Linked DNA regions of Canis lupus familiaris. The protein of the gene in region 1 purifies or fractionates together with the protein of each later gene. This does not show direct contact. Links are inferred from orthologs where the notes say so. Each region holds a gene or a part of one and is shown on either strand. Other genes may lie near its edges. The genes, in order: CORO1A, IFT57 and POC1A.

What was found.
Region 2: the proteins of CORO1A (region 1) and IFT57 purify together in Homo sapiens (affinity purification with mass spectrometry; 3 studies listed by BioGRID and IntAct, counting the BioPlex papers as one, with this or other methods). This does not show direct contact. The link is inferred for Canis lupus familiaris from reciprocal best matches to the Homo sapiens genes CORO1A and IFT57.
Region 3: the proteins of CORO1A (region 1) and POC1A purify together in Homo sapiens (affinity purification with mass spectrometry; 3 studies listed by BioGRID and IntAct, counting the BioPlex papers as one, with this or other methods). This does not show direct contact. The link is inferred for Canis lupus familiaris from reciprocal best matches to the Homo sapiens genes CORO1A and POC1A.

Annotation. Positions count from the first base shown.
Region 1 is NC_049227.1:18,326,817-18,331,223, forward strand, and holds the start of CORO1A (coronin-1A), read left to right. Parts: upstream 1-1,554; 5' UTR 1,555-1,713; intron 1,714-3,277; 5' UTR 3,278-3,278; coding exon 3,279-3,476; intron 3,477-4,407. UniProt on the Homo sapiens protein: May be a crucial component of the cytoskeleton of highly motile cells, functioning both in the invagination of large pieces of plasma membrane, as well as in forming protrusions of the plasma membrane involved in cell locomotion.
Region 2 is NC_049254.1:13,948,603-13,952,246, reverse strand, and holds part of IFT57 (intraflagellar transport protein 57 homolog), read left to right. Parts: intron 1-316; coding exon 317-448; intron 449-1,792; coding exon 1,793-1,855; intron 1,856-2,660; exon of another isoform or gene 2,661-2,750; intron 2,751-3,644. UniProt on the Homo sapiens protein: Required for the formation of cilia. Plays an indirect role in sonic hedgehog signaling, cilia being required for all activity of the hedgehog pathway.
Region 3 is NC_049241.1:38,006,315-38,009,958, forward strand, and holds part of POC1A (POC1 centriolar protein homolog A), read left to right. Parts: intron 1-623; coding exon 624-739; intron 740-3,644.

The DNA.
Region 1 (4,407 bases):
CTGATGTCAAGAATATGTCAGTCTTGGGGATCCCTGGGTGGCTCAGTAGTTTGGCACCTGCCTTTGGCCCAGGGCATGATCCTGGAGTCCCGGGATCGAGTCCCGTGTCGGGCTCCCGGCATGGAACCTGCTTCTCCCTCTGCCTGTGTCTCTGCCCCTCTCTCTCTCTCTCTCTCTATCATGAATAAATAAATAAATAAATAAATAAATAATCTTAAAAAAAAAAGGAATATGTCAGTCTTCATATCTCGATTCTGCAGCTGTGTGGGCTGATGATTGCCGCCAGCTTTTCCTAGATGGTGACCAGATGGTCACTACTAGTGCCAGTCTTATAGCCAATCTTATAGCCGGTCTTATAGCTTTTTCTTGCAGCTTCAACCAGTCTGCTTCTGATTACATAGCCTTGAATCAAGTGCCCATCCTTAAACCAATCAAAAAAGATTGCTTGACTGGGGAACTGTGGCCCTGTGCCCACCCTGGACCCCCTCTTGAACTTCAGGGACTGCCAGTGAGGAAAGGTTGGTCCCCCAAAGGAAAATCCAGAGGTGGCCGTCAGTAAAGAGGGTTTGGTAAGATGGTGGGCCAGCAACACCCAACAGATACACTGTCCCAGCGCCCCTCATACGGAGCTGTCAGCCCAAATACCCAGTGATCATGGGGAGAGCCAACATTTATTAAGCACTTGCTACACCCAAGAGGAGGTGCATAAAGCTTTGCTTCCCCCTATAACCTCTCGAGTTAGGTAGGACTCTTACAGAGGGAGAAACTGAGGCTGAGGGAGGTTAAGTATCCTGCCCTGGTCACTCAGTAGTGTGACAACCAGGAGCCAAACTCAGCAAGCATCCTGATTCTGGAGTATGCCTCTCTTGCCCTCTGCATTGCCACCTCCCTGACGCCTTCTCCAAATCCAAGGGCGACGATGGATTCCTCCTTCCTCTTGAGTGTGCAGTCTGGCTTCTACTCTGCTTGGCATCCCTGGAGCCCTCCTCTCCTCTCCCTCTGGGAGGCTGAGAGCCCTCTGGGGGCAGGAACCTGACCCTGACTCATTGACCTCTGCCGCTCCTGCAGGAAGAAGCCTCCAGAATGCCAGAGTAATTCATTTGTTCCCTGTGAGGTAGGCGAGGCAGAGGTGCTCCAGGGTGAAGACCTGAGATGGCAGAGAAGTGACTCTCCCGAGGCCACGGTTTGTAAACGGAGGAGCCTAGACGAGACCCCAGGGCTCCCCTCCTCTCGGTTCCTCGTCTGGGAGTGGTGGGGGGGGGGCGAGGAAGGCAGCTCAGCCTTAGCTGGGGGTGGGCGTGGGGGCCTGATGGGCGCTTCTGCGAACGCCAGGGACAGGATGGTGAGTGGGCTGGGGACGGACTGAAGGAGGGAAGAAGGAACAGGGTATTTTTGCATTTTGACATTACAAAAGTGCCGATTAGATTGTCAGCGAGTGGCCGGCAGCATCTGTTTGGGTTGGGAGTTGGCAGGCGCGGCGGAGCGCGGCGGAGGGCGGGGCGGCCGCGGGCTGGGGGGCGGGGAGCCCTTCAGGAGCTCCGCCCAAAGGGGCGCTGCCACCCCTAAGGAGGCGGGCAGCGGCGCTTCTCATTCATTGTCTTGACAAGAGCATCCTCAGCGGGCAGCCTCTGGCTCCGCCAGCGCCTTCCTCCTCCTCTTCCTCCTCCTCCTCTCCCTCCTCTATCCGGGGGGTCCCTCCTCTCTCAGCGGCAGGTAAGCCCGGGTCCCCGGGCGAGGCGCCGGGCATCGCTGCCCTGGGCCACCTGTGGGGCAGGCGTGAGCCGGGCGGGAGGCGGCCGCGGGGGCGGCGGGGCTGTCAGCGCGCGGCGGGGACCGGGGACGGGGCCGTGCGCGCCGCGCGTGCAGGGGGCTCGCCGGGGGGCAGGGGGTGCGCGGGAGGGTCCGTCTGCGCGTCCGGGGCGCCGTGAGCAGGCGGGGTGAGGGACCACCGCAGCCAAGATGGAGGTGGGGGGCGGGGGGCTGGCTCGCGCCGGAACGGGCGGCGGGGGCGGGGGGGCAGGGTGGGGTGAGCCGAGCGGCTGCCCTGAGCTCCGAGACAGGAAGGGGTTGAGAGCAAAACAAGAAAAGACCAAGTTCCCCTTTCCGCGGTTTCTGGGCCTGGTACCTGCAGTGGGGGAGGAGGCGGGTGGGGCGATGGCTTCCTGTTCCCCAGCCTTGGCTTCGGGGCTACCCTCGCTCCAGGCCCAGGGTCTGACCCGGGACTGATCCCTCTGGCCCCGGACTGCTTCTCCTCACACGTGCTCCTCACCTGCTGTCTGGGCAGGTGGGCCCGGAGCCTCCCGGAGCCGACCAGGGCCGACCAGGGCCGACCAGGGCAGCGGGGTGCCCCGCGAGAAGGGCCAGGGCCAAAGGCAGTCTAAGGGGTGAAACCGAGGAGGGGGTAGAGGCCTGGCGCCCACGCTGAGCAGGGAGGTGATGCAGTTGGGCTTCAGGATGGAGCCTGGAGCCTGGGGAGCCAGAGGCAACACCATCCTCTTCAGTCGCTCTCTGACCAGCCAGGTGGGAGAAGCCCCGCTGGACCTCAGGGAAATCAGTGCCACCTCTCCCTGTGCATAGTTCCAGAGCAGGTGGAAATGGCACTTAGGGGCACCTGCTCAGGCAGACTCGAGAGGCAGAGGTGTGGGGAGGAGAGAGTGGGACCCAGGCCATTTGCCTGTTTCTGGTGCCCAGACACCTGCTGGGGAGGCCACCCTGCCTCTGATGACCTGCCTCCTGGGCAGGTCAACGTGCTGCTTCCCCCTGGATGCCTAGCCCCGTGCCAGGAGGTGAGGGAGGCCAGCCCTGCCCCTGCCTTCAGGAAGCTCTCTGTGTGGGTGTGAGCAATGTGAGCTGTGGCTGCTGTGATGGAGTGAAGCTACCCTCCAGGCTGTGCCCCCAGAGGGTGGGAGGGTGAGCCATGGAGAGAAAGGGCTGTGTCTGGCAGCAGCCGACAGATGGGCTCTTGGTGCTACTGCCCCCACCCCACCCCCAGGCTCTGGAATAGAGGCTGAGGGTACAGACCAGAGGCCTGGGTGGGCAGAAAAGGTAGGCCTTGCAGGTTTGCCAGGAGTGACAAGGGGTGAGGAAGGTGAGCATGAGGGCAACAGGATGGTAGTTACAGAGGACGGAGCAGGGAGCCCAGGAAGATGCTGGGGAAGTTAGCTGAGACCCTAAACACCAGCTGAGGGGTGTCCTGGGGGGACATGGGGAACACTCTAAGGTCAGAGTCAACCTGAAGGGAGAAAGGCCCTCAAGCCCACGTGCCCCTACCCCCCAGGATGAGCCGGCAGGTGGTCCGCTCCAGCAAGTTCCGCCATGTGTTTGGACAACCAGCCAAGGCTGACCAGTGCTATGAGGATGTGCGTGTCTCACAGACCACCTGGGACAGTGGCTTCTGTGCTGTCAACCCCAAGTTCATGGCCCTGATCTGCGAGGCCAGTGGCGGAGGGGCCTTCCTGGTGCTGCCCCTGGGCAAGGTGAGCCCCTGGAGTCCTTGGGGCAGTAGTCTTCCACTTGAAGGGGCCTCTGATCCTGATTAGGTGACTGTCACCAGGCCTTCTGGGGCTGCAGCATTGTCATATGTAAAACTGAGCTGGGCCACATGAGCCTTAAGCCTCCTCCAGCTCCAACATGCAGTGGTCGCATGGAAACTGAAGCTCAGGTGACACCAGAAAGGTCATATAGCGAGTCCTGCAGACCCAGGGCCAGGTGTCCCAAGTCTTAGCCCAGGGACTTCTCCCCTCTGGAGCACAGCCTGGGCTCCATGGGGTCTGGGCAGACCCAGTGGTGCTCACGGGGTGGGAGGGGCTTGGGGCCAGGCCAGTCTGAGCCCCCATCACCCTCCAGAGCTCCAGCCAGTTCTGGCCCCGGGCTACAAGCAGGGAGGACATGAAAGGCCCTCTCCCCTCCCCCAAACCTGCCTTCCCTCTGCTTCTGCTGCTCACAACCCCCCTTCCGCTCTGTTGACCCCCACCCCCAGCACACTCCTTTGCCTTGAGGGGTGAGACAGGAAGGGGACATGGGCCCTAAGTTGTTACCTTAAAAGGGCTGATGAAAGCCAAGAGAAGAGGAAGTGGTTGTGGGGCGAGAGCTGGGTGAGCTCTTCACACAGGAAGCCCTGTGGCGGCAGCTGTCCCCGGAAGCAGCCATTTCCAAACCTTTGCTCCTGCTTGGGGCCAGTTATGACAGACTTCCCCAGTCCCTATCCTATTGGAAGGACCCATCCCCATTCCCACACTTCCTGGGGAATCCTACCCTTAATACAACCTCCCCTGCCCAGGGCCCTGGCCTATCATCCCCTGGGAAGCCTGGTTCAAGGAAGCTGGGGTGGGAGTGCCAGCCCTCAGGGCATCGGCAAGAAAGTGGGGGTAGAGATGTCAGGAGTTGGCCAGTAAGGCAGGACTGGGG
Region 2 (3,644 bases), on another chromosome or scaffold:
GTTATTCTGTTACCTACTTTGATTGCAAACTTTATATAAAAGTAAATTCCACTCACGTACAATTTAGATATGCATAAGGACTAATGAATTGACTAACACTTCCAGGTGCTTTTTTATTTTAACATTCTGCCAAGTGTGACTAAAATATTTCTCATTACAGACTTCTTTTGCTATTGAAAATTTCAAGCTATCTTCTTTTTCACAAGTGGTTGGGAATTTGTGGGATGGATTGAAGGAAATTTAGCCCATTTTGTACTATTTTTGAAAAATGTATTTGTGAGTTCTTTTATCTACTAAAATCCTATGGAATTTCTAGGGATTTTTGGATAAACTTCATAATGAAATTAGTAGAACTCTGGAAAAGATCGGCAGCCGAGAAAAGTACATCAACAACCAGCTTGAGCATTTGGTTCAAGAATATCGTGCAGCCCAAGCCCAACTGAGTGAGGTAACTTAGGAATGATATTCAGGGATTTATTTCAGTTAATGACCTTAATTCCCAAACTTGACACAGCACTTTTCATTTGAGAATCATGAAATGCTTCTCCCAAACAGCAACACATGGATACTCTGCCCACTTTAGGAAGCCACGTGAGGCAGTAGAACTTGTCATCTCCATGTTACATGCAATAGAAATTATCTCCTAGAAGTCTTTAAATGCATTTCTTCTTTTGATTTAAATAAATGAAGACATGTATTGTTGGGGAACATTGCTTAGAACAGGAACAGAGTGTCAGGACACCTGGTTTTGTTTCTTAGTCTGCCGTTAATTTACCCTGTGAGTAGGAGGAAAAAGAATAGTATGCATTTACATGTGTCAGAGGGAAAAGACATCATTGCCTTAATGGCTTACAGCCACATAATAAAGAATATGAAAGCAAGACACGTTCAGAGACAAGCAGTTTAATTAATTTAATGAGCAAATTTTTTAATCCTTTCAAGGTTTTAGAATTTCAACCAAAAAAATAAAACCTTCAGCCTTTGGAAGCAGTGGTTCTTTGTACCCCAGTAGGGATCTAAAGGCTTTCCTTGGGAGTTATGCCCCCTCTTTCCTGATGTTGAGGAAGGCTAGTAAGAACACTTAGAAATGCTAGTTGAAGAGTTTTTTATTTTTCTTTCAGTAAATAAGGTTAGAAGAAGGGAAAAAATGGAAATCAACTTAAGATACTTCTGTACTTTCAGAAGTTCTCAAAGACCAAACAGAAAACAATCTTCACTGTTTTATTATGTTATTTATTTAACAAATTATTCCCTCATATACATATATACTCATGGATGTTTTTACTTTCAAAATGCTGTAAAAAGTCTGATTAAAACCACTGTCAAACACTGATACTAAATAATTGTTAGATTAGTTCCCAAGAACATATTCCGTACTGTCATACCATTTGTTAATCCTTATTAATTGCTCATCCTGATGCTCTGTTATGATTGATTTTTTGAACTGGTTTTCTCTGCATAGCATGCAAATTACATCGACCAAGAGCTGCTCTCCTAAACTGTGTAGGAATAGCTGAGGACAGTTTTTATTGTGAACCATGCCCGTGTGAGTTACACAGTCAGTATATGAAGGTTAAGGTAGTTTATCATTTTATAGTGCCTTAGTTTAAATACATCGCGCCTATTAGGGACATAAAAAAGCTACAGTTAAATGTCACTTTCACAAATGTATTCACAAATGGGGGGGGCTGTCATAAAATGATATGCAGAAATCGCAAACACAAAGAGGTCACATTTAAGTAATCTGCTTCTGTTGTGAATTTGTCATTAAACAAAATGTTTTCTCCCTTAGGCACGGGAGCGATACCAGCAGGGTAATGGCGGAGTAACGGAAAGGACCAAGCTCCTGTCTGAGGTGCACACCACGCTCTCGCCCTCTCCTCACCCTCAGCTGCACCCTGGCCCCAGCCATGCAGAGTCATTGTGGTTTAATACTGCTCCAACCGGGCGCTCTTTATTTCAGCAACTGCTTCCCGTGGCTCTGAGTCCTTTTCTTTAGGAGAAAATCCCTAGTTTTCTTATCAATGAATCAATTATGTATTTATATACTTCTTATTCCCATAAAATGCCTGAAGTTGTTTTATTAAATTCAACATAGAACCTGTTGATAATATTAGCACATTTATAACCTTCCTTAATCTTTTTAAAAGCAGAGTAGTCATGATTAATACATAGAAGAGTAGGTAAAGCACTGGCTTAAATGTCTTATAATTAATTTTAATGTTAGTCTGTAAGATATAAGATCTGTTTTTAGTGATTGCTGCTGATGTATGTGATCCTAAGTATTTCTGTCTACAAACTGGAAGTGGCTATCCTTCTGAGAACTTCTGAAATATTTGCATATATTGTTGCATTGATTTTCATCATCACACAAAGGGGTACAATCTAATATATATTCCAATTTTTTACTGAAGGGCCGGGAGAAAAAAAATTCTTACAAGGTCAATAGCCAATGTACAAGAGTGTCTTTGGTTATAATCCAGTGTAATTGTCACAGACATTTTCAATATAATAGAATTAAGCTTCTTTTATAGAGATTATTTGAGGCATAAATAGTTATTTTAGAATACTAAAAGTGTAACTTTAGAAATATTTAGACTCTAATCCTGTGGTGCTTCTAGGCAAATAGAACATTATGTAGAAGTAAAGTGCTCACTTACGTTAGGTAAATTAACACTTGAAGGGAGTCCAGGGACCCATTTAGTTCTTTTGGAGGAGGTAGTTATCCCCAGTTGTAACATTGCAGGTGCCTAAAAAAAAATTAATTTGCTTTACTTGGATGAGCACTTTATTCCCAAGGAAGTTTTTACTCACCAGTATGATAAAAATAAAGCCTAGTAAGTTACAATAATTATGGCTTAGTTCTAGGTCATATAATTTTTTAAAAAAACTTTTAAAGCTAATATTCTAGGTTGGAATTTTACTAATAGAGGCTATAGTAGTATAATTTTGAATATGACGTAGAATACAGCTAAGAGCCAATATGACAGCACAATATGCCTCTTGGAGTTCACGGTTTGGATAGAGCAGTTGGAATATTTTTATATACAGCCATATGGTATAAACGTTATTTTTAGCATCCTATACAGGAAAAGATGGCATCTTCTCTTATAAAACTATAATATTAAGAAAGATACCTACTAAGCCTTAGAAATCCAAAATCTTCTCAGAATGTATATACTGTTTTAATTAATAACTCATTATTAAAGACTGGCAAGGTTGGGATGCCTGGATGGCTCAGTCCATTGAGTGTCTGACTTGATTTCAGCTCAGGTCATGATCTTAAGGTTGTGAGACAGAGCTCCAAGTCAGGCGTGGAGATTCTCTCACTCTCCCTCTGCCCCTCTCTATCCCACCCCACCTCCCTGCTCTCTTTTTCTCTCTAAAAAGAAAAAAAAAAAAAAGGATTGGCATGGTAGATGCTAGGAGATAACTACAAGGTTTGCATGTCTGATGCCTAAAACAACAACTTAGATCAGTTTTTATTGTCATGTGACAACCTGAAAACATCATTTGGTGAAGTTTAATGTTAGGAGCACTCTCAGAAGATAAAAAGCTTTGTCTCTCTGTCTCTTTTATTATTCAAATTATGTCCAGAACACTCCTAATATGTTTATGTCCCTTTATGGATGTATTAGATCTAT
Region 3 (3,644 bases), on another chromosome or scaffold:
TATTACCTATGACGATGGGTTTATAAATGAAAGGCTTGTCAGGTTCTTGTAAGTTCTTGGTGGCTGTTCACACTGTGCTGCATCATCAGGAGAGGGAGGAGCCTGCATTAGAGCAGGGCCTCACCTGTTCTGGTCTCCTCAATGAACCTCAACTTCTGCCCTCCTCAGGTAGGCGGGAGCCCCAGGGAAAGGCGTCTCCTAAGAGCTGGCCATGGTGCCAGCCTGGGTGTCACCCTTGGCCTGTCTCCTGCAGATGGGTCAACCAGTGGCCTTGGGGTCCCACTGGCCCTTTGGGGCCAGGCCTCATCGCTTTGATGAGGGCCCTTGCTCTGACTCTGAACAGCCTGAGCTGTCAGCTGTCGTTTAGGCTGAAGACCCCTTTCTCTACTTGTATTTAGAGGTGGACGCTGGGATTCGGTCCCTGATGAGTCCACCTCCGGTCACTGTTAGCCACTGTTTTTGCCCTCTCTCTGCTGTCCCTTGGCCACCTGGTAAAGAAAAAGGGCAGAAGGGAGATATTTTGGGTTTGGGGAACAGCTTGAGCAGATGTGCAGGGATGGGAAAGGGGGGTCTGTTCTGGGCCAGGACAGTCCTACAGCATGCGGCGGCCCCTGCCTTTCCAGCTTTGTCACCTACGTGGACTTCCACCCCAGTGGCACGTGCATCGCCGCTGCCAGCATGGACAACACAGTGAAGGTGTGGGACGTGCGGACGCACCGCCTCTTGCAGCACTACCAGCGTGAGTGTCCCTGAGCAGCCACAGCATGACGGTGCGGAACCTGGCGTCAGGCTTGTGGCCATCATGCTGAAGCAGGCCTGAGGACGGCCCTGGTCAGTGGGGAGGAGTCCTGGGCCCATTGGGATCTCCAGGGGTCAACTCAGGTTGGAGACCAGAATCAGGAAGCAGCCCTGGGGCCATGTCCCCTGAGAATTATAGCCCTCAGAGGTGCAGAACAGCGAGCAGTCAACATAGGCCATCTTAGGCTCCTGCTGGGAGGTAGGGTAGGGACGGACCGGGTGTGATTAGGGTGAGCTGGAAGGTGCTGGAGTGTGGAACTTGAGAGCAGGTGTGACTGGGCAGGGCTGTGAGTCACCTTGGCCGTGGGGATGGGGAAGGGAAGGGAGGTGGTGATCTGCCACAGGAGGAACTAGGAGTGGGGCCAGGGGCAATATGGTGGGCAGGCCTGTGGGCCTGGGGCTAAGACCAGGTTGGGGTAGAGCTGGAGTTGTTGGAAAAACTGTGGTTATTGTCTTGGGACAAGATTTAAAGTCCATGGGCTACATCCAGAATTCACCCCTGAAATGGAAAGGATGCGTCTGGACAAAGGTGTTGGGCTTGGGGTTCAGCTTTCCCTTGCATCCCCTCCTAGCTGATTCTCAGCTGTTGAGGACAGCACTTCCTTGAGGTAACTGAGGCTAGCAGACCTCCCATGTTGAGGGAGAGGCTCTTGGTCTTAAAAAGCATTTGGCGGAGGGTGGGCTTTGCAACCAGCCTCAGTATTTGGAGTTGTGGGACGTTGGGCAGGGCATTTGACTCCTTTGGGCCCCCTGGGACAGTGATAGGGCCTCCTTCACAGGTGGTGTTGGGAGGGTAATGAGTTAGTCTCTGCCAAGAACTTAGAGAGTGCCAGGCACAAAACAGGAACCAAGTAAGGGGTTCAGATGCCCGTGTTGCCAAGTCTGGGTCCGGAGATCCTGGAGTAGGGAGTCTGGCCTGCATTGCCCTACACCACCACCAGGTGGCAGAGGCTAGCCACTCTTCCTTAACAGAAAGCCCTGGGGCTTGTCGTAGCTGCAGCTGTTGCAGACAGACCTTCTAGAACAGAGTAGCTATGGGGTCTACCCTCTACTTGGAAACCACAGCTTTCCTTCCCTCCTTCAGGCTTAGAGGCCTCTCTTCTCTGGGCCAGGCCTGGGTTGGAGTTGGCGCACATCTGCAGCGGTTGACTGGGGGAGGGTTGGCAGGTATGGAGGAGTGCCGGGGCGGGAAGGTGCCTCTGAGTGTGGGGTCAGGAGTATTGGGAGGGGGAGGTGACGAGGCCAGGCAGGTTAGGAGTATAGGCTGTTTCCTGTCTGTAAAGGGTGATAATAGTACCTCATGGGATTTGTGAAGATGTGTTGGGGGAGTCTACATGATGATTATAATACAGTACTAGAAATGTGGTTAGTACCACATAAATCTTTCTCTTCTAATTTGTATTATTATTATTATTTTTTTCATCACATAAGTCTTGACACTGAGGGGAGAGGATCTCTAGGTGGCCATGGGAGAGTCCAGCCTCACCTCTGATGGATCAGGAGCATGGGTCTGGGTTTGTGGCATGCACCAGTAGGAACCCATTGGGGAGGGCGTTGAATGCCATACTCTGGCCCATGGTCCAAAAGATGCAGCCTGGCTGGCAGTGCTGGGACTGGTCCCATTGCTCGAAGAGCAAAGGTATGTCTGAAAGGACATACAGAGCCTGCCTGGGTGGGAAACTGGTGTGCTTGGGCGACTGGTGGGTGGGCTACTTATGCCCCATGTCTGAGTGAGAGGAGGGCATCCAAGTAGGGCAGGGATCAGGTCCAAGGGTTAGGTTTTGGAGATTGAGAGAGTCAGTAGGTGACATTACGGGTTGAGGGTCCCGCTGGGCCCAGAAATCTGGGCCTTGAGAAGGGCTGAGGCCATATCATGGGTCCCTATGATTGAGGGGCCATGGAGGGAAAGGTCTACAAAGCAGCCAGAGTGAAGGATGGAAAAGGGCTGAGAGGGCAGGACCAGAGGCATAAAGAAAAGCAGAGTCTCCTGAAGAGGGTGATCAGGAGGTAGAGTGATACAGAGCAGTTGAGAAGGGTGGCAGGTGCTGGAGAGAGGTCCCTGGAGTTCTTGAGGGGGCAGGCTTGGCAGTGGGTGGGCCGGGGAGTCAGTGACTGGAGGGGCTGGGGATGTGGTGAGGGGGCTCAGGTGGCATCAGGAGCCAAATCCTGAGAGGACCCGGGGTACATGAGGCTTACAGGCTCTCTGCAGAGAGATTTCAGTGTGTTTTTGCTATTGTCCTTTGCTCTTATGACAGACCTACTCTGTCTTGTTCCTAAGCCACCTGAATACATATCAGAGGCCTTGAGTGGCTTGGAGTACCCTGTAAACAACTGAGTTTCCTTAGCTCCCTGCCCAATACATGGTGCACAGGGCAGCAAACTCATCCCACTGCCTCTAAACTCACCCTCTGGAGCTCAAGGAGAGCCACGTGGATCTGAGGATGCTGTTGGGGGACATACCCCTCACACTTTATGCTGTTTGAGGGACCTGGCCAGGTCTGCTCAGGTCTACTGGCACCTCTTAGGAGCTGCGTGGCCGAACCTTCGACCTTAGAGGCTCTCACTAGCCCCTTAGTAGCAGCTGCTCTCTCATCCTCAGGGGTACAGGGGCATCTCTTTGGAGGCTGATTCTCCAGAAGGACTCCTGGCACTCTGACAGCAGACACGAGCTGAGCTGTTTTTCACCCCTGATCCTTAGGAAACCCAGAGGAAAGTTTTTAAGAACACAGACATCCCCTATCTCCCTTGGTGACTCTGGATGAGTACCAGGCACTCCTGGTGGGCCTTGGGCACATGAGGTTGTTGGGCTTTTCCAAGACCTTTTGATTCTTGATGCTACAGTGTGT